Linked DNA regions of Xenopus tropicalis. The protein of the gene in region 1 interacts with the protein of each later gene in a biochemical or structural test. Links are inferred from orthologs where the notes say so. Each region holds a gene or a part of one and is shown in the gene's direction. Other genes may lie near its edges.

Region 1 (4,836 bases):
TATGGAACACACAGGCAGCATAGGGAAGGCAGAGTATAGCACAAGCAGGCGGCGTAGGACAGGCAGAGTATGGCACACACAGGTAGCATACATCTGAAGTGTGAACAATAGAGGGGGTTACAGCCTGAATCTGAGGTGTGAACAATGCAGGGTGATACATTACAATGCACTGCTCAAGCTTTCCTATTTAATCTCCACTGGTATCACTACCTGGTTGCTAGGGTCATTGGAGGCTTAGCAACCAGATAACAGTCATCCAAACAATAGTTCACAAAGAGCTAGGGAAAAGTACTAGAGGTGGGAGTGCTGGGTGCATGGGGTGAAGTACTAGAGGCGCGGGTGCTGGGTGTATGGGGTGAAGTACTAGAGACATGTGAGCTTGGTGTATGGGGAGAAGTACTAGAGAGGTGGGTGCTGGGTGTATGGGGAGAAGTACTAGAGGGGTGGGTGCTGGGTGTATGGGTAGAAGTACTAGAGAGGTGGGTGCTGGGTGTATGGGGAGAAGTACTAGAGAGGTGGGTGCTGGGTGTATGGGGAGAAGTACTAGAGGGGTGGGTGCTGGGTGTATGGGGAGAAGTACTAGAGGGGTGGGTGCTGGGTGTATGGGGAGAAGTACTAGAGAGGTGGGTGCTGGGTGTATGGGAAGAAGTACTAGAGGGGTGGGTGCTGGGTGTATGGGGAGAAGTACTAGAGAGGTGGGTGCTGGGTGTATGGGGAGAAGTACTAGAGGGGTGGGTGCTGGGTGTATGGGGAGAAGTACTAGAGGGGTGGGTGCTGGGTGTATGGGGAGAAGTACTAGAGAGGTGGGTGCTGGGTGTATGGGGAGAAGTAATAGAGGGGTGGGTGCTGGGTGTATGGGGAGAAGTACTAGAGGGGTGGGCGCTTTATAAATAAATGTTAATGTAATGCTGGGTGTATGGGGAGAAGTACTAGAGAGGTGGGTGCTGGGTGTATGGGGAGAAGTACTAGAGGGGTGGGCGCTTTATAAATAAATGTTAATGTAATGCTGGGTGTATGGGGAGAAGTACTAGAGGGGTGGGTGCTGGGTGTATGGGGAGAAGTACTAGAGGGGTGGGTGCTGGGTGTATGGGGAGAAGTACTAGAGGGGTGGGTGCTGGGTGTATGGGGAGAAGTACTAGAGGGGTGGGTGCTGGGTGTATGGGGAGAAGTACTAGAGGGGTGGGTGCTGGGTGTATGGGGAGAAGTACTAGAGGGGTGGGTGCTGGGTGTATGGGGAGAAGTACTAGAGGGGTGGGTGCTGGGTGTATGGGGAGAAGTACTAGAGGGGTGGGTGCTGGGTGTATGGGGAGAAGTATAGGGTTGTGTAATTCCTCTAGTTGAGTGAATCAGTCGGTGCGACTCACCAGGGAAGAATGAGAGAAAGGAAGACAAGGGAAGCCAGGCTAGCTCTGGGAGGGGAGGAGGAGAGAGGGGGAAGTGTTGGGATTAGAGGTGGGATCTGAGAGGGGAATAATGCAAATGAAAGGGGAAGGACAAAGGGGAAAGACAAAAAGGGACAGGCCGAATTAATAAGCGCCCCGGACTGTGGTGAGAGAGCAGGCTGGGTGTCACTGGGGCAGTACAGAGACCCCCCAACGGGAGTGACAGGCTGGGCCAGGGCTGATTCAGTGGGAGGAGGGACAGGCGGACCCGGGGGAGGGCAGCACAGGCGGAGGGGAGGAGGGAGCTGGAGCCGGCCGGGCGTGAACCGTACGCTGAGTAGATCCCCAAACTTCCCGGCCCAGGAGGAATCTGATGTGTGGGGAGAGGCACCGGGAGATAGTGGGTACGAGAAGAGCGCTCTTGCCCCCCTCTGTGTGAGGGGGGTTCCCGGAGAGTGGAATCTCCCGATATCTCAGGCAGGACAAGGTAAGTAGTGGCTGCACCGTGCCGCTAGGGGGCGTAGGATAGTACCACGGGTGCAGAGAATGGGGGCGCTATAGGCTGCTTGGGAATGGTGTATGTAACGCCTTTGGGGGTATTTGGAGCACTGCTACCATATGGGCCTTTAAATCTCACTCTGGCCCGGTATTCGGTGGGTATGCCTGTGTATATGTTGTGCACACAGGCCCTTTAATGGTCAGGGTAAGTGCAGCATGTTTCCTGCGAACATCAGGGGTTAAACTTCTGGGCCAATAAGCTAGCGTACATTTAACACATGATTTTGAGATGGGGGCATGCTGGGAGTCACTGGGCAAGTCTGGAGTTGAGAGAATATTGGGGAGTGAAGGGGCTAGTTAGCAATATTGGGTGTGCTGGGCATGGATGGGGGGAATTCTATAGTATACAGGGCATGTATGGGGGAATGCTATAGTATACAGGGCATGTATGGGGGGAATGCTATAGTATACAGGGCATGTATGGGGGGAATGCTATAGTATACAGGGCATGTATGGGGGGAATGCTATAGTATACAGGGCATGTATGGGGGGAATGCTATAGTATACAGGGCATGTATGGGGGGAATGCTATAGTATACAGGGCATGTATGGGGGGAATGCTATAGTATACAGGGCATGTATGGGGGGAATGCTATAGTATACAGGGCATGTATGGGGGGAATGCTATAGTATACAGGGCATGTATGGGGGGAATGCAGGAGGGTACAGGGCATGTATGGGGGAATGCAGGAGGGTACAGGGCATGTATGGGGGAATGCAGGAGGGTACAGGGTGTGTGTGGGTAAATGGTACAGGGAGTAAAGGATGGCTGGAGAGTACAGGGCATGCATGGAGGAGTGGTGAAGGGTACAAGGCGTGCATGGTGGGTTATCATAGATTGTACACTTGTGAGTCCTCTCTATAATAAACCAAAGGCCATCCTGCTACTGGTTGAAGTTGAGAGTTAAAATTCAACCCAGCTCTATAGGTATGGGTAGTTCTGGGGAGCAAAACTATGCTATGTACCTGTGTATGTATGTGGAACAATTCTGCATATAAACACACACAATGGTCAAACAGCTACTATGGCAGTGGGTTGCACAATTATTATAGTTTATATCTAAATTTAGATTGGTATTAAATGTCATACAGAGCTGGCAGCATTGTTTTTTTTTTTAACTATGTGATTGCTACAATTAGCAAATGGCAAGGGTAAATGTTTATGAATGTACTCAAGCAAATGGGTATCCCTCCCCCTTTTAACCATTTGCTGTGCAGCTTTTAAAGCAGGAGGCTTTAGGGCCATGATCATAACTTTCCAATGTCGCCTTGTTAGTGCCAGGTTGTAGGTAAAGGGCTAAGGGTGCTAGGTTATACGTAGGATGCACCAAACCCACTATTTTCAGATTCCGTCAAACTCAGTGTCCTTCGTAAAGGATTCGGCCAAATACCAAGCATATGTAAATTAGGATAGGGAAGGGTTAAAGCGAGCCTCGTGCGCAGGTTGCGCTGAAAAAATTTCAACTTCTGTGTTTATATGACAAAAAGGCACATGATTTTTAGTGTTCTGATTCAATTCAGTGCATCCCTAGCTGTAGGTATAGGTACATGAGTGCCAAGCAGTGGGTACAGTGGTATATGTGCCAGGCTTTAGATAAAGGAAGGGGCTGTTTACCAGGCTGTAGGTATAGGTACATAAGTGCCAAGCAGCGGGTACAGTGGTATATGTGCCAGGCTGTAGGTATAGGTACATAAGGGCCAAGCAACAGGTACAGTGATATATGTGCCAGGCTGTAGGTATAGGTACATAAGTGCCAAGCAGTGGGTACAGTGGTATATGTGCCAGGCTGTAGGTATAGGTACATAAGGGCCAAGCAACAGGTACAGTGATATATGTGCCAGGCTGAAGGTATAGGTACATAAGTGCCAAGCAGCGGGTACAGTAGTATATGTGCCAGGCTGTAGGTATAGGTACATAAGGGCCAAGCAGCAGGTACAGTGGTATATGTGCCAGGCTGAAGGTATAGGTACATAAGTGCCAAGCAGCGGGTACAGTGGTATATGTGCCAGGCTGAAGGTATAGGTACATAAGTGCCAAGCAGCGGGTACAGTGGTATATGTGCCAGGCTATAGGTATAGGTACATAAGTGCCAAGCAGTGGGTACAGTGGTATATGTGCCAGGCTGTAGGTATATGTATGTGAGTTCTCAAGCTCTGAGTACAATGATACATGTGCCAGGCTGTAGTCAAAGAGGTATATTTGCTACACTGTATGTAAAGGGCTATATGTACCAGACTGTTGGTACAAGTGAAAGGCTTCTGATACAGGGGTATGTATGCTAGGTTGTTGGGAAGGGCCTATGTAGCTAGGCTGGGTAAAGGGCAACGTGTGCCAGGCTTTGTTATCATCGGCTTATCAAATATACTGACACATGAATGTATCTTAGCAAATAACCTTTAGATAAAATCAGCAGGTCTTTTCAACCAAAAATTTATGCTCTGGCCTCCCTCTAGTGCAAAGCTACAACTCCCGAGGGTGATGGGAGTTGTAGTTTTGTACTAGGTGGAGGCTACAGTTGCCTTAGAGCCAGCTAAATCCCAGCTCACCTTCACACGTGCCTCAATCCCTGTTGAGTCTATCAGAATGCAATCTGGAGTGTACTCCCCTCTCTCACCCTGTGTACTCTGAGCCTTCCGAGCCAGCTACGTGTTACAGCCTGCCTGCCATTCTTGGTTAAACTCACATCTCTCCCTCCCACTTACAACCCCACAAAGGGATGAACTTAAAGGGATCCTCAGGCCAAAATCTGTTATTTGTACAACGAAGGAAAATCTAAAAATTGACATTCCTGTATTCATTAATGAAAGATTGCCAGGAGGTTTAAAATTATTTCTAAATGCAATTCCTATTGAAGGCTATCTTTGTTTACCCCCTTTCTGACTTCTGAAACAAGGT
Region 2 (4,647 bases), on another chromosome or scaffold:
GGGAGAACCACCAAGATAACTCCCGATAAAACAAGGGTGATTGACAGCTCTGTGGCTCACAATATACTCTACATACACAATATAAATGTCACAATATAAGGCTGACTAGTAATAAATACAGATGATTACCGGTACTACATGGCAGCTCTAAAGCCAGTGCAATTATCAGATTTTAATAATCAGCCATGCAGCATCAGCTTATATAAAAGGCCAACCTCCTTTTTTGCAATGACAAAAGTAATTAGGGAATATACTGTAACTGAATAACCATGAACATAAGATGTCCAACACATTAGCCCATATAATTACCAGTAAAAGGAGGAACCAAGGTCCTTAAAATAAATACTTTCTCTGGGTACACAGGGTTCCTAATCATAGACTTGCATTACACCACACAGCCAAGTACAGTGAAACATCAATTTTACATCCCCTGATTTTAAGTTTTCCTGCATTTTACACCATCGTTTTTTGGTCCCACTAATAAATAATAAACTTCTGGGAAAATGTAAAATCAGGGATTTTGCGCCATCTATTTCTGGCCCCCTGAAAAACTTAAAATGGGGGTTCTACTGTAGTCTCATTCTTCATACTTTATAGGTGAACACATACAAAGAGAACACATTTACAGCTACAAGGCCACTGAAACGTATCTACACACGTGCAAGTTTCTTTTTTGGAGCCAGAATTAGTTCTAAACTCAGAACATGAAACCTTTCTAAATGACGGGCATTTGATTTTACAACTGTGCCCCCCCTCATCCCCTACAGCAGTGATCCCCAACCAGTGGCTCCTGAGCAACATGTTGCTCACCAGCCCCTTTGATGTTGCTCCCAGTGGCCTCAAAGTTGGTGCCCATTTTTGAATTTCTGACTTGGAGGCAAGTTTTGGAGGAATAAAGACCATTTGTACTTCTAAACAGAGCCTTTAGTAGTCTGCCAGTACACACTGGGCTACTAATTAACCAATCTGAGTCCTTATTGGTCACCTACTAGGCAAGTTTTTGTGCTTGTGTTGCTCCCCAGCTTTTTTTTCATTGAAATGTTGCTCACGGGTAAAAAAGGTTGGGGATCCCTGCCCTACAGTGTAAGTCACATTAAGCTACGGTCTTACAGTAACAAGCCAGACTCCATTATACGTAGAAACAACGTGCCATCTTTTGTCACGTATCTAGCCATCCAAAACACAGAATCCATGTTTAATACACTACGCTTTCATTCAAGTCTCATTTCTTTGTACGGGGAGCGGAAATCCCGTGTTGCCTAGCGCGCAGTTTTAATTCGCTCTCCCCTCCCCAGGTGGTGTTACGTTGCTTCCGGTGGGCGGTGCTAGCTACGATCTCTTCTTTTGTTGAGGCCGTGCAAGTGCGAGCGGATTTTCTTATCGACACCAGCACTGAGCGTATTGCCGACCAGTAACACCGAACCGAGCAACATGGAGACCGAGACCAAATACTTACCCGAACTGATGGCTGAGAAGGACAGCCTGGACCCATCTTTCACGCACGCTATGAGCCTCCTGGGCAAGGGTGAGTCGGGCTCGGGCGGGGTGTATTCATTTAAGGGTTTGGCGTGAGGGGGACAAAGGGAGTAGGCCAGGGGCCTAGGTAGTAGGATTGGAGTAAAAACACCTTTATGCATTCGGGCCTGCTATGCTTGGCCATGTGGCGTGTGTTAGGTTGCAAAGAATAATGGCGGCTTTGAGCTCACTGCATGCTGTGGATCAGTGTCTGGTTTGTCGACCAACCCTCCCCCACGGCCGTGTTTTTGCAGCTGCTGTTCGAAGTTAGACAAATTGGGGGACTGCCTTCCGAATGTTGCTGCTACTGGGTTTCCCATAGGCATATCCCTGTATGATGCTACACACAGTGTAACCCATGGGTGCAATACAGGCCGACTTAGATACTGTTTTGTCATTTCCAAATCCCTTTTAAGACCAGACCCTTTAATTGAAGTCCGCGTTGTCTTATAATCATTGTTTCAGAAATATTTAGGGAATGATATGTTAAACGTGAAGTATCTGATGGAGAAAATGCATTGTCCCCAAATCACACTGTATGGCCTTCAGTCAGACCCCCACAGCCTTTCTGTTTACCCTTTATTAGAATATATATCCCTTACATAGCAAAAGGTGCTGTGTCCTTATTCTTTAGGAAACATGAATAATTTGTTGGAAATTAGTAAACAAAAGGAATTCTGGTAATGAATTCCAGACTCTTAAAAAAAAAAAAAAAAATCCCATTTACATGGGTTTATCCTGTAGGCTACAGCTCACCCACTGGGTTTGAAGCTGAAGCCAGGACAATAGCTGATCAGATTCCCAACTACAGACCGGTTTTGCCCTTCTTGGGGCTCATCAGTGTAGTGCAGGGTTTTCTGATCAGCTTAGGTAGAGTCACCATGTGGTTCTACAAACAAATTAATAGGGTTACCTATTTATTTGTTTGGAAATTAGTAGATATGGGGGCAGCTGCTTGTTTCATATCTTTTGTCTTGTGAGTACATTTATTGTGACCTGCTGTGGTAATCTGTACAATGTATATATGCTGTGTTACCAGTTCTGTGATGTAGCAAGGGAATGAGATCCAAATGGCACTGTTTGCCCATGGTTTCTACATAAAAGCTTCTTTGTTCTGTGAGAGATACTGACGATTTCCTCCCTCTGTTGGCAGCTGTTCTTTGTCTAGAGGAGGTCAGGGTATAAACCCCATTGTATGTGCAAGAGAGAATTTATTTCTGCTACATGTTAACATGTTTAACATTTCTTAAACATTTCCAACAGTCCTTGTAACTGAAAAGTTTTAACATTGATTACAATTGTATTGTATGAAAGGATCTATATATATGTTTGGCTAAAGCATTGGACTGTGTGGGGGTTACAATATGTGTAAAAACTGGTTTGCTTTGCAATACCTGTTTGGAAGTGAAGTATGGCGATTGGTCAGTAGTTTCATTTATTTGTATGGTTAGTATTTGTCATGTATTTTTGAAGCTAGGGGTGCTTTGATTTTATGATGGACCACAAAGGCTTGAACCAAGACTTTTTTTAAGGCAAAGATTTCATTTGCTTATTTTTTCCTAGTTATAAGCTGCATTAATATAATGCATTTACTCCTTAGTTGTGCGGTTGTCTTTTGCATGATTGAAAAAAAAAAATGATCGACTATTCCTATGTAGTGTTTCAATTTTACAAATGTAGCCTCGATACCAATACAGACTTAGAAGTAAACTTGAAGTCTATATAATACCAATCAGATTTCTTTTTTTTTATCCTCACACGACTCCTTGGTCTTTACAAATCTTGTGTTTTAAAATGAAGGGCTGTAGCTATTTTTTCCCCTGCAGATTACCCTATATTTCTGTTCTTTCTATTGTGCATTGGGTATTCCCGTTCAGATTTGGGGGGTGGTAGATCAGAAGGATAAGAATGAAATGCATTAGTAGTGTTTGTCAGTGACAGTGAAGCTTTCTTGCAATTTTAGGGTAGCCCTGGTGAACTCTTGTCCATCCTTTAGTAAGGCTGATGTCAATATGCCCCACTTGTGCAGTCACTTAAAGTAATGCTATCCTCCTGTTACTGTGTGCATTTGTTGGGCTTTGGCAAGAAAGTGCAAAAGATTTATTTTCTGGCAAAATGTTGCCCCATAAGCATGGTGATGGGAGGATTCCATCCTTCTGCGCAGAATGGATGGAATTGGTCTTTTTTTTTTTTTAAGCTGGGTGGAAATTGCCTGGTACAGGTATAGGACCCATTATCCAGAATGCTCGGGACCAAGGGTATTCCGGATAAGGAGTCTTTCCGTAATTTGGATCTCCATACCTTAAGTCTACTAAAAAATCAAAACATTAATTAACCCCAATAGGATTGTTTTGCATCCAATAAGGATTAATTATATCTTAGTTGGGATCAATTACATGGTACTGTTTTATTACTACAGAGAAAAAGGAAATCAGTTTAAAAATTCTGAATTATTTGATTAAAATGGAGTCTATGAGAGACGGACTTTCCGTAATTCAGAGCTTTCTGGATAACGGGTTTCCGGATAAGGGGTCCTATACCCGTATTAAATGAAGTTTTTTTTCTATAGATTTTGTGATTGTCCACAGAATAAATATACTTGGCAGTAGGTTTCTACACAAAATGTTGTTCACTCTATGCACTTTTGTTTTATGCTGTGATGCCTTTTAGTAGGGGATACCCCAAAAAAGAGGTTGAAATTCTTGCCACTGCTCAGTTGTGCTAAAATGTTTAAAAGATAATAAAAACATCCAAATTAATTTATACAGAAATTGAAAGGCTGAAGAAGGGAGGTGATGCCAAGAAAGATGAAGAAGATACTTATCTGGACTTATTTTCCCATAAAAACATGAAGTTAAAAGAGCGCATTTTGATACCAGTCAAGCTGTATCCCAAGGTAAGATTCTTTAGGAAACAATTGTAAAGCTTACATGAGAAGGTTGCCGCAACATACATTAAAGATTCCTGACCTGAACAAATCAACCAGTCACTCCAGTCTGATAACACTGTTGGGCTACATTCTACCACATGGCACCTTTGAACTAATTACATGTAAAGCCATTGAGGAAACTGTAGGGAAACTTTGCAATAAGTCTTTTTGCAGCAACTGGCTTAAAGATTGTTATGCAATGG
Region 3 (4,077 bases), about 22 Mb from region 1:
TCTGCCTGTAGGGGGGCACAGGATCTTGTTTGTTCTGTAGGTGGGCACATAATACTGCTCATTCTGCCTGTAGGGGGGCACAGGATCCTGTTTGCTTTGTAGGTGGGCACATAATACAGCCACTTGATTATTCTACTCAAGAGACAAACATGCTTATACTACCTTTAGGGAAACACAGGTTCTTGCTCAATCTGAGATTCTTCTCATCCTCCCCACACTGGATCTCGTACCCCCTATCTTGTCTGGGTACAAACAGGCACTTTCTGACTCTCTCCAATTAAGACCATTATTTTTTATACTTTTGTTCAATTCACTTATCTTCTTAATTTTGATTTATCCAAGATCTTTGCTTTAGGGTGCAAAATCCAAGGTGCATGAGCATCAAATTTGTCAGATGATAAAAACACAAGAGATGAAATCAAGACTATCTGGTGTTTTTTATTTTAATGATTGGGCACTTAGCTTAGTACATTTGCTATTTCCTAACATGGTTGGGTCCAAAACAGATGGAGTGGCCCTGGCTAATTTATTTTTGGATCAACAAGCTTCTTTAGCATGTGAGTGTAGTCAGCTGTGCCACGTAGCCCTTTGGATTTCTGCAGTCTGGCACCAGGCCCGGACTGGCAATCTGGGGATTCTGGAAAATGCCAGATGGACCTCTGCAAGACACCATAGACAGTCACTATTTATTGGGCTGGTGGGGGGCTGTTTGGGCTTCTGTGTACTTGGAATGCCAGGGCCTATTCAGAATCCCAGTCCAGATCTGTCTGGCATCCATGTGTTTTTCCAGGTTATTTACAAATCCATTTGTCAATTATGTCATCGGACTACAGCGCCCCATAGCAGCCAGTCAGACGATTGCTTTCATTGAAAGAAATGGACATAACTGGACAAAACAGAGCTAAATGCAAATTTCTTACTATGGCTGACTGCAAGGGTCAACACCAATATTGATTACACCCCACCAGTATTTAATCTTCAAATTTCACAATACTGGTGGAGATTAGACACCCACACTTAAATTGGGACCAATTTGATGGTAAATTTGATTTGATGGTAACAGGTTACTAATCCTAGCACTAGCAGACCATTCGGGGGCAAATGAAGAATACGTCTGGTGATAGTATATCCATAGAGTTGGTCTGTGTATGGCCACCTGATTATGGGATTGCACCTCAAAGCTCTGATCTTACCTTTACCATCTTCATTTATGTTTGATTTTGTTTGCCTTTTTATTTGGATGCTTCTTTAATCTTTTGTTTTGCATTCTGAAGATATCCACCAAACACCCCCCTGCCAAAAATGCCAAGAGCAGGCTTTACACTGTTCCCCAAAAGTCACCCTCTATTACCTCAAAAAGCCCCTCCAGTCCAGCTGCCTCATCAGTACGGAGCATTCAGAGAACATCACTTGGTGCAGTTGGCCAGCCAGGCGTTACTGCAAGGCTGCACAGAGCCAAGGTAAGGAAAGCAGAGCAACATGCAAGGGTTAATGCAGAGTGGGCTCCATGCTAAATCTGCAGTGTTATTCTCTCTGCAACTGCTCTCAGTTCAATACGTCCGTCTCACACAGGAAATGATAGACTGGTGATATCCCATATGTTTAAGATCCTTAGTTCACCTCCATGGCCTCCAAGCCTTTTGGGTCTGCTGCAGGCCCAGACTGGCAATTTGTGGATTCTGGGAAATACCAGAGGGGCTGCTGTAAGATGCCATAGACAGTCACTATTTATTGGGCCTGTGGGGGGCTGTTTGGGTCTCTGTGTACTTGAAATGCCAGGGCCTATTTTGACTTCCAGTCCAGGCCTGGCCTGCTGTAAAGGAATTATATGTGCCCTGCTTTATATGCTGGCCATGTTGCCTGTGGCCTCAATGTTCTCTGGCTGTAGCCTGAAAAACCCCAAATAATCATTCACAGCATTTTGTCTTTCTTTTAACACTCCTGTCACAATAGTATTATATCTGTCCTGGCCCAAGGCTTCCTTAGCAGCACCCTAGCCAACACACTGCTGCTTTTAGTTTGCTTTTATGGTTTTATTCATTGTGCCCAGTCTCAAAGTGTGTATTTATGTGCCTGTCATGTACCATTCTTTTCTTGACACCTGCCCCCCCATGTTACTGCAGTGGAGAAACATAAGTGGGTACTTTTACGTTAATTTGGTATTCAGTAAATGCATGCTATAGATTTACTATAAAGACAAGACTAGTGCAGGGTAGATAAGGCTCATATAGGACGGAAGAGTATTGCGATTTCTAGATACGTATATGTCACATGGATGCAAGAGACTGTCATACCTAGTGGAGCGTGTGGGTGGGAGCTGAGTGCCCTGTGCCTATCATTATTCACAAAGGCGAATTAGAAGATGACAAAGATAAAAAATATTGCTATATTTGCTTACTAGCTATTCCCTGATAACCATTTTGTATTATGAGAATATTTGAGCTTGGGTGTGTGAGTGGACCTGACACAAGTCCTGTGATAAACCCCAAGCAAACACTGCTGCCACTGAATGGACTTATGCACAAAATAACACATATTTGGTTGCCAGGAGGCTGGAGGTCCGGAAAGTGCTAAAAGCCAGCTCAGTGCTTCAAGAAATGCAACCAGCGCCTCCAGAATCCCAGCAAAGACTTCGTCCATCCCCAAGACCCCCCCTAGTGGTAAGTTTGTAGGGATGCAAAAGCCTTTGGGCAAGATGTCACCATAGTGGGAGCAGAATATAAATTCACTACTAAAATCCTCATTGGCACATGGGCTAGGGTGATATGGTTGGCATATAAAAGATATGAGTCAGTGGAAGAATAATTTAGACCACTTAGATCCAACCAGCAGCTTTCCAAGTGTATTGACATTCAGGTAAATGCCAGTACAGCTGATGGGAATACAAAGAAGAGAAAAGCTTGCATTATGTGATAGAGGCAACTACAGAGAAAGGGAAATGGAGCAGATAGTGGAAAAAGAGAAAGTGATATAGGAAAGGGAATCCAGGGGAATGTAAAGTATTTAGTGGCATAAGGAATGGGATACAGAAGTAATGTGAGAGGAAATAGGAAACTGAGGTAGAAAGCCATTTAAAGGAAGGGGGGTGAGGATTTGTGGCACAGGAGATAGGTGTAAGCAGCCAAGCTACTAAGGGCGTAACATATGATATGGGAAGGTTTCTGATACAGTGATACCTGGGACTGATCTATGGTGCAGCAGGAGGCTTGGTTCTGTAGGACAGTGGGCTTGGTTTTGTAGGACAGTGGGCTTGGTTCTGTAGGACAGTGGGCTTGGTTCTGTAGGACAGTGGGCTTGGTTCTGTAAGAGAGTGGGCTTGGTTCTGTAGGACAGCGGGCTGGTTCTGTAGGACAGCGGGCTTAGTTCAGTAGGAGAGTGGGCTTGGTTCTATAGGAGAGCGTGCTTGGTTCTGTAGGAGAGCGTGCTTGGTTCTATAGGACAGCATGCTTGGTTCTGTAGGAGAGTGGGCTTGGTTCTGTAGGACAGCATGCTTGGTTCTGTAGGAGAGTGGGCTTGGTTCTGTAGGAGAGTGGGCTTGGTTCTGTAGGACAGCATGCTTGGTTCTGTAGGAGAGTGGGCTTGGTTCTGTAGGACAGCGGGCTGGTTCTGTAGGACAGCGGGCTGGTTCTGTAGGAGAGTGGGCTTGGTTCTGTAGGAGAGTGGGCTTGGTTCTGTAGGACAGCATGCTTGGTTCTGTAGGAGAGTGGGCTTGGTTCTGTAGGACAGCAGGCTGGTTCTGTAGGACAGCGGGCTGGTTCTGTAGGAGAGTGGGCTTGGTTCTGTAGGAGAGTGGGCTTGGTTCTGTAGGACAGCATGCTTGGTTCTGTAGGAGAGTGGGCTTGGTTCTGTAGGACAGCATGCTTGGTTCTGTAGGAGAGTGGGCTTGGTTCTGTAGGACAGCATGCTTGGTTCTGTAGGAGAGTGGGCTTGGTTCTATAGGACAGCATGCTTGGTTCTGTAGGAGAGTGGGCTTGGTTCTGTAGGACAGTGCAAGGCTTTCTGTAATAAATACCTTCTTTTCTAACAGCTGTCAGAAGGGATCAGAGAAAGCCGCCACCCAGCGGTGCCAAGCCAGAC
Region 4 (4,691 bases), on another chromosome or scaffold:
GTAATGACAAATGAGCATTCTCAGCGTTTTTCAGAACTCTCAAATATCCTGATCCATTACCCTCTATTTTTATAACAAGACTAATAATTTGATGGATAAAATGCTTGAGTTTGCTCTCCCTGTTTCACGTTTCAGTGCAAACATTTGTGAATATTTGGCAGGCTAATCACTAAAATATAGAGAAACAAAACACGAGCAATGTAATACTGAGTCACCCCCAAATAACAATGCATTTCTTGTTTTTTTATCAGTTGAGGAGTTTTCCTTTGCGCTGTGCCTTCCAGTAATCCTGCTGCGCGACATACATGCAGCTTCCTGTTGCGCACAACCTGCTTCCTTGGGAGCGCTGCTCTCTGTTACTGAATACCTACACAATTTCAATGCGTAATTAATTATAAAAATGTTACTTTAATATAAGTTTTCTCTCTAAACAGTTAAATAAAATGGAACTATATCATTTCTCAGACATCTCGAATATCATCTATCTATCTGTCTGTCAATTTGTCTGTCTATCTATCATCTATCTATCTGTCTGTCAATTTGTCTGTCTATCTATCATCTATCTATCTGTCTGTCAATTTGTCTATATATCACCTATCTATCTATCTATCTATCACCTATCTATCTATCTATCTATCTATCTATCTATCTATCTATCTGCCATCTATCGATGTAGTTCATCTATCTGTCTCATCTCTGTCTATCTATCCATTTAAATATATAAATAGATATATATTGTAACCATAATATATACCTACTTCATCTGTGTATCTATCTATCTATCTATCTGTCTACCTATTTGTCTGTCTATCTATCACCTATTTATCTATCTGCTATATATCTATCTATCTAACATGTTACGGAACGACCCCTTATCCGGAAAACCCTTCATCCCAAGCATTCTGGATAATGGGTCCTGAACCAGCCTCTCATTCAAACCACTCCCTGGTTACTAAGGTAACTTGGACCCTAGCAACCAGATAGCTTCTGAAATTCCAAGCTGTAAACACTATTAGTAAACCCTCATTGCAAATTGTCTCAGGATATTACTTTCTACATTATACTAAAAGTTAACTCAAAGGTGAATAACCCCTTCACAGCCTCATGTGCCCTGCTGGGGGGCCCTATTATAACACCCTCCTGTAGGTATATTATTGCTAGCCCAATAAAGTTTAGAGCTAAAGCAGTCCCGTGGCAGACCCATTTTTAGCAACCCTCCCTGAACATTTCCCTTGTGATGAATTATGTATATGTAAAGCATCTGAGGCTGAGCCGTGTCCATAGCAAATAGCCTGGGGGGGGGGGGGCAGAAGAGTTGTGGTCCCTCTGTAAATCAATATATTGCTTTAACAAGCAGTGATGTGAATATCTGCCGAGAGATAATGTACATTTGGGCTCCCAGGGCCGGGCCGGGCAGGATGTAACGCTGTGCCCTTAACTCTCCAGATGGTGGAATGCCTGTAGTGTAGTGTTCAGATTTCCTGTTGGAGTCTTTGAATTTCCTGAAATCCCTCTGCTTTCAACCCAAGCGCTTTCCAAAAAAAAAAAAAAAAAGTCATTTTTTTTTTCTCTTATTCCTGCTCACATGCCTGATTCCCCTTCCTGCCCCTCGCTCTTTCCAGTGTTTTACATTAACCAGGAGGCTGCATGGATCTCTCCCAAGCACTTCCCAGGAATGATCTGACTTAGAGCTTTAGATTCTACAAAAGAAACATTTGTTCAGGCACTTTTTTTTCTTTTTGGGTTACACTTTTTCTTTTTGGAATATGTTTCCCCCCTTCTTTGTGTGGAAGTCTGTTTCCTCTCGGATCATGGAATAATGGATTTAATCGTGAGAGGACAAGAGCCTGGAATGGGAATTGGAACTGGATGGTTTCTGGTGAGTGCGGGAAAGAAAGAAAAAGAGAGAAACGCGAATGAATGAAAGCGAATGAGACTGAAAGAGTTTGGTGCGTTCCACAACTGGTATAAATGTTTTATTTGCATCCTTCCGACATAACAAAGGGTTAATTCATTCTGGGAATCATAGTCCGGCAACTCTTAGAGACGTAAGGTTAAAAGGGAAGGGGATAAGGATATCATATAAAATAATGCAGCCAACCTGGGACTAAAATCTGCATTTATTTGTAAGTTTATAAAGTTAGGGCTAAAGTACTTGGGGGTATAAATGTATACAGATATGGGACCTGTTATCCAGAATGCTCTGGACCTGAGGTTTTCCAGATACGGGTTCTTTCTGCAATTTGGATCTCTATCTAACATGAAATAAACCCAATAGGACTGTTCTGCCCCCAATAAGGGGTAATTATATCTTAGTTGGTATCAAGTACAGGTACTGTTTTATTATTACAGAGAAAAGGGAATCATTTAACCATTAAATAAACCCAATAGGGCTGTTCTGCCCCCAATAAGGGGTAATTATATCTTAGTTGGGATCAAGTACAGGTACTGTTTTATTATTACAGAGAAAAGGGAATCATTTAACCATGAAATAAACCCAATAGGGCTGTTCTGCCCCAATAAGGGGTAATTATATCTTAGTTGGGATCAAGTACAGGTACTGTTTTATTATTACAGAGAAAAGGGAATCATTTAACCATGAAATAAACCCAATAGGGCTGTTCTGTCCCAATAAGGGGTAATTATATCTTAGTTGGGATCAAGTACAGGTACTGTTTTATTATTACAGAGAAAAGGGAATCATTTAACCATTAAATAAACCCAATAGGGCTGTTCTGCCCCCAATAAGGGGTAATTATATCTTAGTTGGGATCAAGTACAGGTACTGTTTTATTATTACAGAGAAAAGGGAATCATTTAACCATGAAATAAACCCAATAGGGCTGTTCTGCCCCCAATAAGGGGTAATTATATCTTAGTTGGGATCAAGTACAGGTACTGTTTTATTATTACAGAGAAAAGGGAATCATTTAACCATGAAATAAACCCAATAGGGCTGTTCTGCCCCCAATAAGGGGTAATTATATCTTAGTTGGGATCAAGTACAGGTACTGTTTTATTATTACAGAGAAAAGGGAATCATTTAACCATGAAATAAACCCAATAGGGCTGTTCTGTCCCAATAAGGGGTAATTATATCTTAGTTGGGATCAAGTACAGGTACTGTTTTATTATTACAGAGAAAAGGGAATCATTTAACCATTAAATAAACCCAATAGGGCTGTTCTGCCCCAATAAGGGGTAATTATATCTTAGTTGGGATCAAGTACAGGTACTGTTTTATTATTACAGAGAAAAGGGAATCATTTAACCATTAAATAAACCCAATAGGGCTGTTCTGCCCCCAATAAGGGGTAATTATATCTTAGTTGGGATCAAGTACAGGTACTGTTTTATTATTACAGAGAAAAGGGAATCATTTAACCATTAAATAAACCCAATAGGGCTGTTCTGCCCCCAATAAGGGGTAATTATATCTTAGTTGGGATCAAGTACAGGTACTGTTTTATTATTACAGAGAAAAGGGAATCATTTAACCATTAAATAAACCCAATAGGGCTGTTCTGCCCCCAATAAGGGGTAATTATATCTTACAGGAGAACATTAAACAGGGGATCAAAGGAAACTATTCCCAGAAGAGCTTACAGTCTGTTTTCAGTTTCTGTAGGGGGCAGCTTGGTTTGAAACAACTGCTGTGAATCAGTGGGGGCACGGCCATGCTATGGGGTGATGTGTGGGGTCCTGTTGAATTAATTACAGGCTTGAAGCTACCAGGGCTTTCAGAGAGGCGCTGTATAAACAGAGTTAGTGTTGAGCAGTCTTAGGGGCCCCAGCTTAAGGGATAAGGTAAATCTGATAAACAAACTGACTTTGGCCGGGAGGTGTAGTTCAGCAATAGCTCATTGGCTGCGCTGGTGTATATAATAAAATAAAGTGCAGTCATTTTGCAATGTTACCTGTAATTTGTGCACACACAGGCTTGAATATCAATGCACACAAGCACTAACGCCGTGCACAGAAAGTTCCGACTGCCTACATTCCATTCATTGCCGCCATGCAGCGCACACAGGGTTAAAGAGATACACACTAACATGAGAAGGAACATAGCAGAGAGCATTTCCTAGCTAAAACCACCTAATTCTCTAAGCGGAATAGTAGAGATGAGCAAAATGATCGGATTTCTGCGCAAAATGTAACGGTTCGACAACTGAGATCTAAAATTGTGTATATGAAGCAGGAACAATATTTGTGTTATTTTATTGCATTTTCCAAAACCCAGAGATTTATCACATGTCCTTAGAATAAAATAGACACTTCTTTGTGCAAGTTGTCATTATGTGCTGCTGAGTGATGGGGAGGGGGCTGCCTGGGGGCAAAATGGTAAGTGAGGACAGGGGAAACATAGGGACAGAGTGAGGGTAGGAACAAGGGGCAAAGGCAATGGGCCAGAAATAGGGGTAGGCAGGTGGGCGCAAGGGTGGGCAGCAAGCATGTACCTCTTCTGTCTGTCTACCCCTAGTCCGTGCCTTCGGTCAACCCTGCTCTGCTCTCATTTCCCTACAGAAATAGGGGTTGGTAGCACTAGGTAGGTACCTAATATATAGGGGCAGAGACAGGGGAAAGTGTTGGAAGGGTTACTGCCTGCCCTGCTCTCATTTCCCTACAGAAATAGGGGTTGGTAGCACTAGGTAGGTACCTAATATATAGGGACAGAGACAGGGGAAAGTGTT
Region 5 (4,236 bases), on another chromosome or scaffold:
CTTCAGGCTGGGCCCCCTTAGCCCATAACAAGGTTACAGATATATAGAAACATTGGGGTAACAGTCACCCTGCTATAGTTCCAGGGGTGCCCAGGGCACAAATAAGCACTCACCCCAAATCCCCCCCTAACTGGCCTTCAGGCTGGGCCCCCTTAGCCCATAACAAGGTTACAGATATATAGAAACATTGGGGTAACAGTCACCCTGCTATAGTTCCAGGGGTACCCAGGGCACAAATAAGCACTCACCCCAAATCCCCCCTAACTGGCCTTCAGGCTGGGCCCCCTTAGCCCATAACAAGGTTACAGATATATAGAAACATTGGGGTAACAGTCACCCTGCTATAGTTCCAGGGGTACCCAGGGCACAAATAAGCACTCACCCCAAATCCCCCCTAACTGGCCTTCAGGCTGGGCCCCCTTAGCCCATAACAAGGTTACAGATATATAGAAACATTGGGGTAACAGTCACCCCGCTATAGTTCCAGGGGTACCCAGGGCACAAATAAGCACTCGCCCCAAATCCCCCCCTAACTGGCCTTCAGGCTGGGCCCCCTTAGCCCATAACAAGGTTACAGATATATAGAAACATTGGGGTAACAGTCACCCCGCTATAGTTCCAGGGGTACCCAGGGCACAAATAAGCACTCACCCCAAATCCCCCCTAACTGGCCTTCAGGCTGGGCCCCCTTAGCCCATAACAAGGTTACAGATATATAGAAACATTGGGGTAACAGTCACCCCGCTATAGTTCCAGGGGTACCCAGGGCACAAATAAGCACTCGCCCCAAATCCCCCCCTAACTGGCCTTCAGGCTGGGCCCCCTTAGCCCATAACAAGGTTACAGATATATAGAAACATTGGGGTAACAGTCACCCCGCTATAGTTCCAGGGGTACCCAGGGCACAAATAAGCACTCACCCCAAATCCCCCCCTAACTGGCCTTCAGGCTGGGCCCCCTTAGCCCATAACAAGGTTACAGATATATAGAAACATTGGGGTAACAGTCACCCTGCTATAGTTCCAGGGGTACCCAGGGCACAAATAAGCACTCACCCCAAATCCCCCCCTAACTGGCCTTCAGGCTGGGCCCCCTTAGCCCATAACAAGGTTACAGATATATAGAAACATTTGGGTAACAGTCACCCCGCTATAGTTCCAGGGGTACCCCTAACTGGCCTTCAGGCTGGGCCCCTAGCTCCCCATTCCATAGTTAGTCCCTAAAGACAAGTGACTGGGAATATATATATTTTATTAGTGTTCTGTGCCCCCCCCACATTATTCCATGCTGGTTGAGCCCCCCAGGCTTAGATGAACTGAGGGCTGTGATGTATGGGGAGACTGTTGCAAGCAGTAGATAGTCAGCTCCGGGGCCCAGTAGTGAGTAGGAGGGGGGGGGTGGGTTTCATTGAGAGGAGGAAGTGAGGGGGGGGCAGTAGCTGGGTGAGTCAGCAGAGCGCGTGCTATTGGCCAGCAGCAGCCTCCTTCTCCTGGGAGCCAGTGAATAGGTAATCAGGCAGCCCCAGCTCCATTCATCCCGACTCCCACTCACCGTCCCTCACTCACACTCGCACACAGTGCAAGGCTCCCACCCCCCCTGCACCTGAGCTCTCTCCCTGCCCCAGAGATGGGTAGGAAGGCAGGTGGAATGGCTCCCTCCCCCGGCCCGGTGTCCATCTGCACATTTTCCCACAAGGATTAGCCCCCCCCCTCGCTGACCTTTCCCCCAGAGGAGCCCCCAGCCGCACATCGGAGATATAAATATATGGATTTATTTCCCCCCCCCCTCAGCATTTCCTCTGCTGCCTTCCTGCTCGGTGCTGCCGGCTCTCCCATATCCTCTCTCCGTAGGGTGCCGGGGCCCCGCAGGCCAGGGGAGAGGTACCCACCCATCAGCGGCCGTGTAGGGAATGTATTGATCAGTGGGAGGGGGCCCCCATGCACAGTGAGTGGGACATGCACCAAGTGACACTCTCCTCTCTCTGGCTCCCGGATCAGAACCTGCTGGTCTCCCGCTGGATTCTTCTCTCCCCGGCACTCAAGCCAATGCCCCAGCCCGGCTCCTGGCTGCCCCTTTCTAGCTGATTGGAGGGGTACCAATGTGGGGTTCTGGAGGGAGATCCGTGTATACAGGTTTGCCCGGTACCGGACTATGAGAACCAGACCCCCCATTGCTGTCGAGTGCAAGCTGGCAGCTGGCATCATGGATCTGCTTCCCAAAACCAAATACAATCACCTTCGCAATGAGTCGGTCAGCTCGGTGGAAGAGGCTTTGGCCGCTGGGCCCCTCAGCCCTTCGGTGGAAATCATGGTGTCCCTGCCCAGCTCTGCCTCGTCTTCCTCCCTTGCCCCAATGCTGCCGCTGGCCGAGCTGTCCTCTGAGTCGGAGGAGAGCCCCACCACTCTGTGCTCCTTCTTCCCCAAAATGGCCAACCTGAAACTTTCCAACCCGGCCAACCTGCTTAACCTGCGCAGCTTCTCTTCCTCCATGGGGGGGAAGGAGAGCGCCAGCCCCGGGGAGCAAGGGGACACCCCCAATGAAGGCAGTAGCCCCGAATCAGGCCGGACTTTCACTGTTTTCTCACAGGATATGAACAAACTGAGCTGCGGGCGAAAGTCCCGGGTGGAAGGAGGCCAACTGGCCGGCGACGAATGGACCCGGCACGGCAGCTTTGTCAATAAGCCCACCCGAGGCTGGCTGCACCCCGACGACAAGGTCATGGGCCCCGGGGTTCCCTATCTGGTCAGGGTAAGGCCATGTTTCTCTTTCTTGGGCTTTGTTTCTCTGGGCTACCAGGGCTCTCTGTGCCCCTACCCTCTAGTTCCAGCCTCTACTCCTACCTACTGTCTGTACTCCTACCCTCTAGTCCTACCTGCTGTCTGTGCCCCTACCCTCTAGTTCTAGCCTCTACTCCTACCTACTGTCTGTGCTCCTACCCTCTAGTCCTACCTGCTGTCTGTGCCCCTACCCTCTAGTCCTAGCCTCTACTCCTACCTACTGTCTGTGCTCCTACCCTCTACTCCTACCTACTGTCTGTGCTCCTACCCTCTAGTCCTACCTGCTGTCTGTGCCCCTACCCTCTAGTCCTAGCCTCTACTCCTACCTACTGTCTGTACTCCTACCCTCTACTCCTACCTGCTGTCTGTGCCCCTACCCTCTAGTCCTACCTGCTGTCTGTGCCCCTACCCTCTAGTCCTACCTGCTGTCTGTGCCCCTACCCTCTAGTCCCAGCCTCTACCCTCTACTCCTACCTGCTGTCTGTGCCCCTACCCTCTAGTCCCAGCCTCTATCCTCTACTCCTACCTGCTGTCTGTGCCCCTACCCTCTAGTCCCAGCCTCTATCCTCTACTCCTACCTGCTGTCTGTGCCCCTACCCTCTAGTCCCAGCCTCTATCCTCTACTCCTACCTGCTGTCTGTGCCCCTACCCTCTAGTCCCAGCCTCTATCCTCTACTCCTACCTGCTGTCTGTGCCCCTACCCTCTAGTCCCAGCCTCTATCCTCTACTCCTACCTGCTGTCTGTGCCCCTACCCTCTAGTCCCAGCCTCTACCCTCTACTCCTACCTGCTGTCTGTGCCCCTACCCTCTAGTCCCAGCCTCTATCCTCTACTCCTACCTGCTGTCTGTGCTCCTACCCTCTAGTCCCAGCTCCTACCCTCTAGTCCCAGCTCCTACCCTCTAGTCCCAGCTCCTACCCTCTAGTCCCAGCTCCTACCCTCTAGTCCCAGCTCCTACCCTCTACTCCTACCTACTGTCTGTGCCCCTACCCTCTAGTCCCAGCTCCTACCCTCTACTCCTACCTACTGTCTGTGCCCCTACCCTCTAGTCCCAGCTCCTACCCTCTACTCCTACCTACTGTCTGTGCCCCTACCCTCTAGTCCCAGCTCCTACCCTCTACTCCTACCTACTGTCTGTGCTCCTACCCTCTAGTCCCAGCTCCTACCCTCTACTCCTACCTACTGTCTGTGCTCCTACCCTCTAGTCCCAGCTCCTACCCTCTACTCCTACTTGCTGTCTGTGCTCCTACCCTCTAGTCCCAACCTCTACCCTCTACTCCTACCTGCTGTCTGTGCCCCTACCCTCTAGTCCCAACCTCTACCCTCTACTCCTACCTACTGTCTGTGCCCCTACCCTCTAGTCCCAACCTCTACCCTCTACTCCTACCTACTGTCTGTGCCCCTACCCTCTAGTCCCAATCTCTACCCTCTACTCCTACCTGCTGTCTGTGCCCCTACCC
Region 6 (4,077 bases), on another chromosome or scaffold:
TAGGCACCTGCCAAGGGCGATATTTGTTCCTTCAGATCCTTGATTTTGCAATAAGCAATGGGGATGAAGGATGGCTAGTGCAAGTTACAGTAGCAGTGGCAAAGGACCTGTTGAGGAGGGTTGGTGATTTTGTTTCTTGCAGCTGAGGCAGCAGCAGAGGACTGGAACCAAGAATGGAAGTTTGCTAAGGGTTGCCTCGGGCGCCCAATTCTTTTGGATCATCTCTGATATGAAGTACTTTTATGGGAACTTGTTTTAGATTAATCTATGCCAGTTTTGCGGTGGTTAGCAGAGGCTTATGTGATACTATGCAGATGTACTGAAAAGTCAGCAATGGGTAAAGTTATTCCTGTCAAGTACTGTTATAGCCAAACTTTATATGTCCAGGTGTATTTAGGCTCAGTTTGTGATTTTTATTATTTCTTCTGCTACTGACAAACATGTATCAAAACTATATAGCTTTTGTTTTCATGCTGTAGTCTAAAGTCCCCAAGAAAGAGAAACTATTTTAAAGTCAAATGTTTTCTACAAATTGTCTCGCATTTTTTTGTGTTCAATCTGTTTTAGTGCATATAGATTAAAAAACAATTTGGTTAAATCTCCAGCAGTGCCATGTTAGGAATCTTGCTCTTGCAGTGATTAGTAAATATAGAAAATTAAAAAAACTTGTCTGAGATGCTCATTTCTTACAAACTGATTACCTCTGTGTTTACATATAGTTGATCACACAAGGGTTGAGCTTCACGATGGGGACCCCAATGAACAGGTCTCTGATTACATCAATGCTAACATTATTATGGTAAGTATATATGATATGTATTTCCTTTTTCTTCTTTCCAATGTTATGGTATTTATTTGTGTGTGTTTTCCTTTCGACTTATTTAGCCTGAATTTGAAACAAAATGCAACAATCCCAAACCCAAGAAACGCTACATTGCTACACAAGGCTGCCTACAAAATACAGTGAATGATTTTTGGAGAATGGTGTTTCAAGAAAATTCCAGAGTTATTGTCATGACCACAAAGGAAGTTGAACGAGGAAAGGTGCATTGTGTTTTGTTTAGTCCTATTTTATTCTGATCTTCTTGAAGCAGTACTTCTAGGACAGATACAGTATATAGTTTGATAACTAGTAGCTTGTCAACATGCCATGGAACTCAGCTCCTGAATGTGATTCAGATATGGATCATATAATTTCTGCAATAGTAAGCCAATGAAGCTGCAAACAGAAAAATTGTTGCAGATTTGCATTAATTGCATTCCTGTGTCCTGTTTTTCAGAGTAAATGTGTAAAGTACTGGCCAGATGAGTTTGCTTTGAAAGAATATGGGGTGATGCGTGTGAGGAATGTTAAAGAAACTCCAGCTCATGACTATATACTAAGAGAGCTTAAGCTTTCCAAAGTTGGGCAAGTATGTGTTTTTTTTTATCTGTTTTTGTCTTTACTAACATAATGTAGGTAGCTTCAAAGTGTGCAATATTTCTTTATATTGCTATTTTTTATTGCTTTCTATACTCCCACCTGCAGTTGTTAGGGTCACTTACTCTAGGAACCAGTCAGATAGAAAGCTGTGAACTGCTATGCTGTATTGTAAGTTATTAGTACTTACTGATCCATTTTTGCCCTTTTCTATACATTTTCCATTAAATATTTAATAAAAATGTTCATAAAACTATTTAAAATATTTAAGGGTCTCTTACAAATAGTATTTATTTCTCTTTATTTACAGTGCCAACTTCTTTGTAGTGCTGTACAGAGAATGTTTAATCATTCACTTTAGTACCCACTACAGCAGTGCTGTCCAACTGGTGGCCTTTAGGCTGGATGCCTCCCTCTGTGTAGCCCCTACCTGTCAGGCTGCTGAGACTGCTTAACTTTGTGTAAGATTTAAATGGTATTGGTCCTGAGATTAACTGCCCCCTGCATGGTTTACACCTCAGATTTAGGCTGAAAACCCCTGTATTGTTTAAATATTTAATCCCCTTTTAATCGCTGCATTATTCACACCTCGGGCTCAGACCCACATTGTTCACACCTCCGACTGTAGGAGCAGTGAATTGTGTTCCTGTATGTACTGCCTGCCCTATTCTGCCTGTGTGTATGGAACACACAGGCAGGGTAGGGCAGGCAGAATATGGCATACATAGGCAGGGTAGGGCAGGGAGAGTATGGCACACACAGGCAGTACTCTGTCTGCCCTATGCTGCCTGTGTATGCCATACTCTGCCTGCCCTATGCTGCCTGTGGGAAGCGAACCTGGCAGGGGTTTGTTCTGGAAGTTTGTTAGCATTTGAAAATAGTCATTATATGGTCCCTAAGGTGTGTAATTAGGTGCTGGGGGTTGCTGTGCTATCCAGAGGGGAGGAGGAGGCATGGATTTAAGGGTGTGGCTTAATATGACATAATATAGTTCTTTCACATATAAATTAAGGGTGATATTCCTACAGTGAGCACCAACCATTTGGGGTTTTCTGTGCTGGGTGTGATTTGAAGTGTGTGCAGTTTAAAAAAGCGGAGTGGTCAAAACAGGCTTCCATTATCGGCCCTCCACCATGTAGACCAGAAAAATTCTGACCCTCGGTACCACAGAAGTTGGACAGCACTGCACTACAGTGTAATTTCCCCCATAATGTTTCTAGAATGATACATTTCTAGCATGACATTTTTATTTTAAGAGTTCTGTTTTATGTGGGAGTTACAGGCGTTATGATTATGTATTGTCTTAGGATAAAGTAAATGCTCATTTATTGTTCTGTGTAAACAACCAATGGCTGAACACAAGTTTGTTTTTTTTGTTTTTTTCCCCCCACTAAAGGGGAACACTGAAAGGACAGTATGGCAATACCATTTTAAAACATGGCCAGATCATGGTGTACCAACCGACCCTGGTGGAGTCTTGGACTTTTTAGAGGAAGTACACCACAAACAAGATGGTATCGCTGATGCTGGGCCTGTCGTTGTTCATTGCAGGTAAGGATTGTACAGGGCTGGAAGTATGTTATTGTTGTCAAAACACACACATTAATGACCACCAAACCCTAACTTCTCCCTTTATTTGTCTAATGGATTTATTAACAAATGACTGATAATTCCCCTTCTTTTGATTTTATAAAGTGGTTAAAAACTTCTTCTTCCTTTTATCACCATTTAATTCCTGCAATATATGCCATTGTTTTTTTCTGACCACAGCTGTCCTTAGCAGTTACTTTATCTCTTTTAGTGTTATAATGCCCATTTAAGATGCTCTTTGGTGACATAGTATTGATAGATGGACCTGGAAACATTGCAAGAAAATATTATTAATGTAAAAATACAGGGTTAGCTGCAGCAGGTATAACTTGTCATGAATTTGATCCTAACCATTGCAGACAAATACAGTGCAAATGTATTTTATTTTTTAACAAGATTTTTTGTGTGCTGTCAATTATTTGGAATATATTAAATACATTTTTTAAGATACACAGTATGAGCACAGTGCATTGGTTTACTAACCACCTGCCACAGTTGATAAGGTGGTTGTCATTAAAATGCAGATATAAATTAATATAGGCTTTTATATTAAAATAGTTTTCCCCTTTCAAGCACAAAAAGTGCCAAAAAAGATAACTTTTTAAAGTAAACGCTTTGTATTGTTGTTATGATATGGTTTTAGAATTTTTATACATTAAACCATGTCATAATAAAAAATGTAGTTTCAGTTCTGTCAAATAAAATTAGCAGGAGACCAAAATGTTGGTGTAGGATTTGTTATTTAGTAAAATGTGAGAACTGGTCAAAGGTCTAACTGCTTTTGCAAGGCACTTTACTATCAGTAGGTATGTATGGGATTCCATATCCAGAAACCTGTTATCCAGAAAGCTTCAGATTTTAAGAAGGCCATCTCTCATAGGCTCCTTTTTAATCAAATATTTTTAATTTCTAAAAATGGCTTCTTTTTGCTCTGTAGTGATAAAACAGAACCTTGTAATTCATCCTAACTAAGCTGCATAAATCCATATTGGTGGCAAAACAATCCAGTTGCATTTGTATAATGTTTAAATAATTTTAGCAGACTTAAGGTGTTGTGATCCATATTG
Region 7 (3,123 bases), on another chromosome or scaffold:
AGAGGTTTTGTTGCCTATGTACTTTATTTGTACTATATATAACATAATATATAGTATGCATGATGTGCCTTGTATAGTATTATTTAAAAAATGTTTTTTTTTGTCAAAAGATATCACTAGAGTTTGCACTTATGGCTTTCTGCCTATGTACAATTATTCTCAAGCAGCCATGTATACATGAATGGTGTTGTTGCTACAGTTTAGGTGCACCTATAGATGATATGTGTTCTGGTATTTATTTTTGTAGCTGTATTTTTTAATGTGTTATTACATAACTCTGAAAGAGTTGCTAAAAGCAGTTTATCAACTATTATCAGCTTCTTCATACAGTACAACCTTATGGCTCAATTATGCATTTCAATAGCTTGTACCCAAGTCTATCCAAATTACATAGTACAATTACTGAAGCAATGTAGTTCTAAATTTTTTCTGTCTAAAGCAGGCCATACACACCCCGATATTATCGTACAAAACCGTACCTGGAGTTGTTGTCACTTAATTAATTGCATTTTGGTTGCATTTAGTACCTGCAACTTATTGTAGAAAATGCAGCTAAACATGGCCTTAAGACAGCTTTTAGTATTGTAAGGTCAATAGTATTGGAAATATATGTGTAACAAAATAGTACTATAGCAAGATGATATAAAATATGGATTGTTGTTTTTACTATTGCAGAATAGACCAAGATATATATAACTGGATAGACATGTAGATATGAAGAACTCATGTTATGCCCTACTGGTTTTTTTTTTATATCACTGTGCCCAGTGTATATTGAATTTTATAGTGGATTTAGTTGATTTTCAGATAATAATCCTGCTGGGTGTAGCTTGATAATTTATTGATTGTAAAATAACTGGTCATGTTAAAAATCTCAGCAGAATGCAGCCAACAGCAAAGTATTAGGTTTGATCAAATAGCAATACATATAATGGCTGTTTATCCATAAAATAACTTTGCTAAAACTAACATGATTGTGAAGACGTAAATGTGTTCTGCTCTACTGTATATGTAACATAATTTAAGGATATTTATGTATGAGATTTGTAATCCAGAATGCTTGGGACCTAGGGTCTTCTGTATAAGGGGATGGATCTCCAGACTGTAACCCTGCCAAAAAAAAACCTATTAAATAACCCAATTTGTGCCTCCAATAAGGATTAATTATATCTTAGTTAGGATCATATACAAGGTACTGTTTTATAATTACAGAGAAAAAGGAATTAATTTTTTGACTACAATGGAGTTAATGGGAGATGGCCTTCCTGTACTTTCTGAACTTCCTGAATAACGGGTTTCGGGATAACAGATCTCATACCTGTATTTCATAGAGGTAGTTAGATATACAGATGGAAAGATGATGGAGAGACAGATAGAGCTATGTCTGTATTTCAATGCTCACAGATATCTAGTTAATTAACATGTATTGTAAAACACGTGAAATATTTTCCAACACTACTGGTTGTTTCAGTTTTCCTAAAATGCAAGGCCTGCAGCTTCCACTCCACTGCTAAAATGGCTTCATGTCTTTTAACAGTAGGTGAATTCAGTACAAAGTGCAAATTTTTGTGATATTTTGACTAATTTCTCAATTGTTCCCCTAATTTTATGTATGTAAGCTGTTTGACTTTGGTCTTGTATCTGCATGGTAGGGAGGCCTTAAAATTTTTATCTCCTTTTTGGCAATTTCCAACTCACTTCTCTGTGCGTTACAGTAACCTCCCTGTTAAAGATCCTCTCGTAGACATTGCTTCTCCAGTGTATCAGGCTGTGCTTAAAAATCAGGGCAAAACTGAGAGTGAAATTGATGACTGGGCACGTCGTGCTGCCAATCTGCAGTCTAAGTCCTTCCGTGTCCTTGCACATATCACTGGAACAGAATACAGTGAGTAATACAGTTCTAATGACTTTGCCACTAAAACAAATAAAGACAAATTAAGACAGATAAAAAATGGTTAAATTGCTGCTTTATAAGAGATTTATCTTAGCCCCATAGGCTTACCTCTGTATATGGGAAACAATACTAGCATTGACAGTGGCACTACCATCCAAGAGTTACCTGGAGCCCCTCTCAGCCATTAAGGCATCACTATATCTCGCTATGCAAATGAAAAATTGGGTCAATGCATGAACATATCCCCTGAATGCCCCAGTTTGTGTAAAAAGAACTGGTGGTGCAAATTGGAATATCACAGCTGGCAGCCATCCAGTCCAGACATTCAGGGGATGTCCACCTTTTGGAACTTTACCTGTGGACAAGTGTCCCAATATGAACAGCCCTTGTTCAAGGAAGGATAAGTAAAGGAGTGCATCGCTGATGTTGCCATGCTCAAAGTTTCTCCCCATCTGCTCCACCACTGTACACCACTGTTTTTGCCAGTATCGCTTCTTCAAACCAGATAGCAGTTTTCCCTAAAAATAGGTGCCCTTTAAATGTAGACTTCTGTACCAAATAGATTGTGTTTCTACCATAACAGTTTCTTATTTTATCAAATTCTTAAAGATTAGTTTTACAGATTAGTTTTAATTTTGTCTCTGATAGTGGATCATTATTAATTATAGCGATCTACTTTGCTTAAAATAAAAACTGCAATAAATAAATCAATGCAAAGTGGACTTAGGTTCATTTTGAAACCTAAGTGGTTTTATATGTCATAAGTTAAAATGGACAAAAATACAATACAAAAATACAATTATACAAATATACAGTTAGCAGATGTATAAAACTAAGGTTGAATGTTGCTTAGCACATGATCATTTTTATAACACTAGCAAGGAGATTTTATAGAATGTGTAGTTTTATGGTATTTTTGTACTGTTATACATTTACAGCACAATTTGGCTATGCCCATGTTGAACCATAGTGAAGAGCGAATCTGTCTGCACTTAAAAAAAAATGTAATGTTTGTTTTTCTGCCCGTGAATTTTTTTTTAGCGAAACGCCAAAAATTATGTGCGTCAACAATTTTTTGTTGTGCGCTGAATGTTTCCATGGCAAATTTTTGCATCCGTTTCACGAAACAATCTGCCAATGCGAAAACATGGAAATTTGCCGCAAATTCATGCCTGGCGAAAAATTTCACTCATCACTATTGGTCCACAATTCTTTGGGTTGTTACACCA

What was found.
Region 2: the proteins of src (region 1) and khdrbs1 form a complex in vitro, tested with the Homo sapiens proteins (8 studies listed by BioGRID, with this or other methods). The link is inferred for Xenopus tropicalis from reciprocal best matches to the Homo sapiens genes SRC and KHDRBS1.
Region 3: the proteins of src (region 1) and mapt form a complex in vitro, tested with the Homo sapiens proteins (3 studies listed by BioGRID and IntAct, with this or other methods). The link is inferred for Xenopus tropicalis from reciprocal best matches to the Homo sapiens genes SRC and MAPT.
Region 4: the proteins of src (region 1) and asap1 form a complex in vitro, tested with the Homo sapiens proteins (2 studies listed by BioGRID and IntAct). The link is inferred for Xenopus tropicalis from reciprocal best matches to the Homo sapiens genes SRC and ASAP1.
Region 5: of the proteins of src (region 1) and shc1, one has a biochemical effect on the other in vitro, tested with the Homo sapiens proteins (4 studies listed by BioGRID and IntAct, with this or other methods). The link is inferred for Xenopus tropicalis from reciprocal best matches to the Homo sapiens genes SRC and SHC1.
Region 6: of the proteins of src (region 1) and ptpn11, one has a biochemical effect on the other in vitro, tested with the Homo sapiens proteins (2 studies listed by BioGRID and IntAct). The link is inferred for Xenopus tropicalis from reciprocal best matches to the Homo sapiens genes SRC and PTPN11.
Region 7: the proteins of src (region 1) and ldb3 interact in a test that uses a peptide from one of them, tested with the Homo sapiens proteins (2 studies listed by IntAct, with this or other methods). The link is inferred for Xenopus tropicalis from reciprocal best matches to the Homo sapiens genes SRC and LDB3.

Annotation. Positions count from the first base shown.
Region 1 is NC_030686.2:39,476,811-39,481,646, reverse strand, and holds the start of src (proto-oncogene tyrosine-protein kinase Src), read left to right. Parts: upstream 1-1,707; 5' UTR 1,708-1,869; intron 1,870-2,000; exon of another isoform or gene 2,001-2,076; coding exon of another isoform or gene 2,077-2,085; intron 2,086-4,836. UniProt on the Homo sapiens protein: Non-receptor protein tyrosine kinase which is activated following engagement of many different classes of cellular receptors including immune response receptors, integrins and other adhesion receptors, receptor protein tyrosine kinases, G protein-coupled receptors as well as cytokine receptors.
Region 2 is NC_030678.2:86,520,970-86,525,616, forward strand, and holds the start of khdrbs1 (KH domain-containing, RNA-binding, signal transduction-associated protein 1), read left to right. Parts: upstream 1-1,427; 5' UTR 1,428-1,431; coding exon 1,432-1,525; intron 1,526-4,283; coding exon 4,284-4,411; intron 4,412-4,647. UniProt on the Homo sapiens protein: Recruited and tyrosine phosphorylated by several receptor systems, for example the T-cell, leptin and insulin receptors. Once phosphorylated, functions as an adapter protein in signal transduction cascades by binding to SH2 and SH3 domain-containing proteins.
Region 3 is NC_030686.2:17,254,719-17,258,795, forward strand, and holds part of mapt (microtubule-associated protein tau), read left to right. Parts: intron 1-1,274; coding exon 1,275-1,460; intron 1,461-2,548; coding exon 2,549-2,660; intron 2,661-4,027; coding exon 4,028-4,077. UniProt on the Homo sapiens protein: Promotes microtubule assembly and stability, and might be involved in the establishment and maintenance of neuronal polarity.
Region 4 is NC_030682.2:142,238,289-142,242,979, reverse strand, and holds the start of asap1 (arf-GAP with SH3 domain, ANK repeat and PH domain-containing protein 1), read left to right. Parts: upstream 1-1,595; 5' UTR 1,596-1,879; intron 1,880-4,691. UniProt on the Homo sapiens protein: Possesses phosphatidylinositol 4,5-bisphosphate-dependent GTPase-activating protein activity for ARF1 (ADP ribosylation factor 1) and ARF5 and a lesser activity towards ARF6.
Region 5 is NC_030684.2:145,082,936-145,087,171, forward strand, and holds the start of shc1 (SHC-transforming protein 1), read left to right. Parts: upstream 1-1,436; 5' UTR 1,437-2,151; coding exon 2,152-2,748; intron 2,749-4,236. UniProt on the Homo sapiens protein: Signaling adapter that couples activated growth factor receptors to signaling pathways. Participates in a signaling cascade initiated by activated KIT and KITLG/SCF.
Region 6 is NC_030677.2:163,824,728-163,828,804, forward strand, and holds part of ptpn11 (tyrosine-protein phosphatase non-receptor type 11), read left to right. Parts: intron 1-719; coding exon 720-799; intron 800-885; coding exon 886-1,044; intron 1,045-1,280; coding exon 1,281-1,412; intron 1,413-2,816; coding exon 2,817-2,971; intron 2,972-4,077. UniProt on the Homo sapiens protein: Acts downstream of various receptor and cytoplasmic protein tyrosine kinases to participate in the signal transduction from the cell surface to the nucleus. Positively regulates MAPK signal transduction pathway. Dephosphorylates GAB1, ARHGAP35 and EGFR.
Region 7 is NC_030683.2:49,220,838-49,223,960, forward strand, and holds part of ldb3 (LIM domain-binding protein 3), read left to right. Parts: intron 1-1,715; coding exon 1,716-1,885; intron 1,886-3,123. UniProt on the Homo sapiens protein: May function as an adapter in striated muscle to couple protein kinase C-mediated signaling via its LIM domains to the cytoskeleton.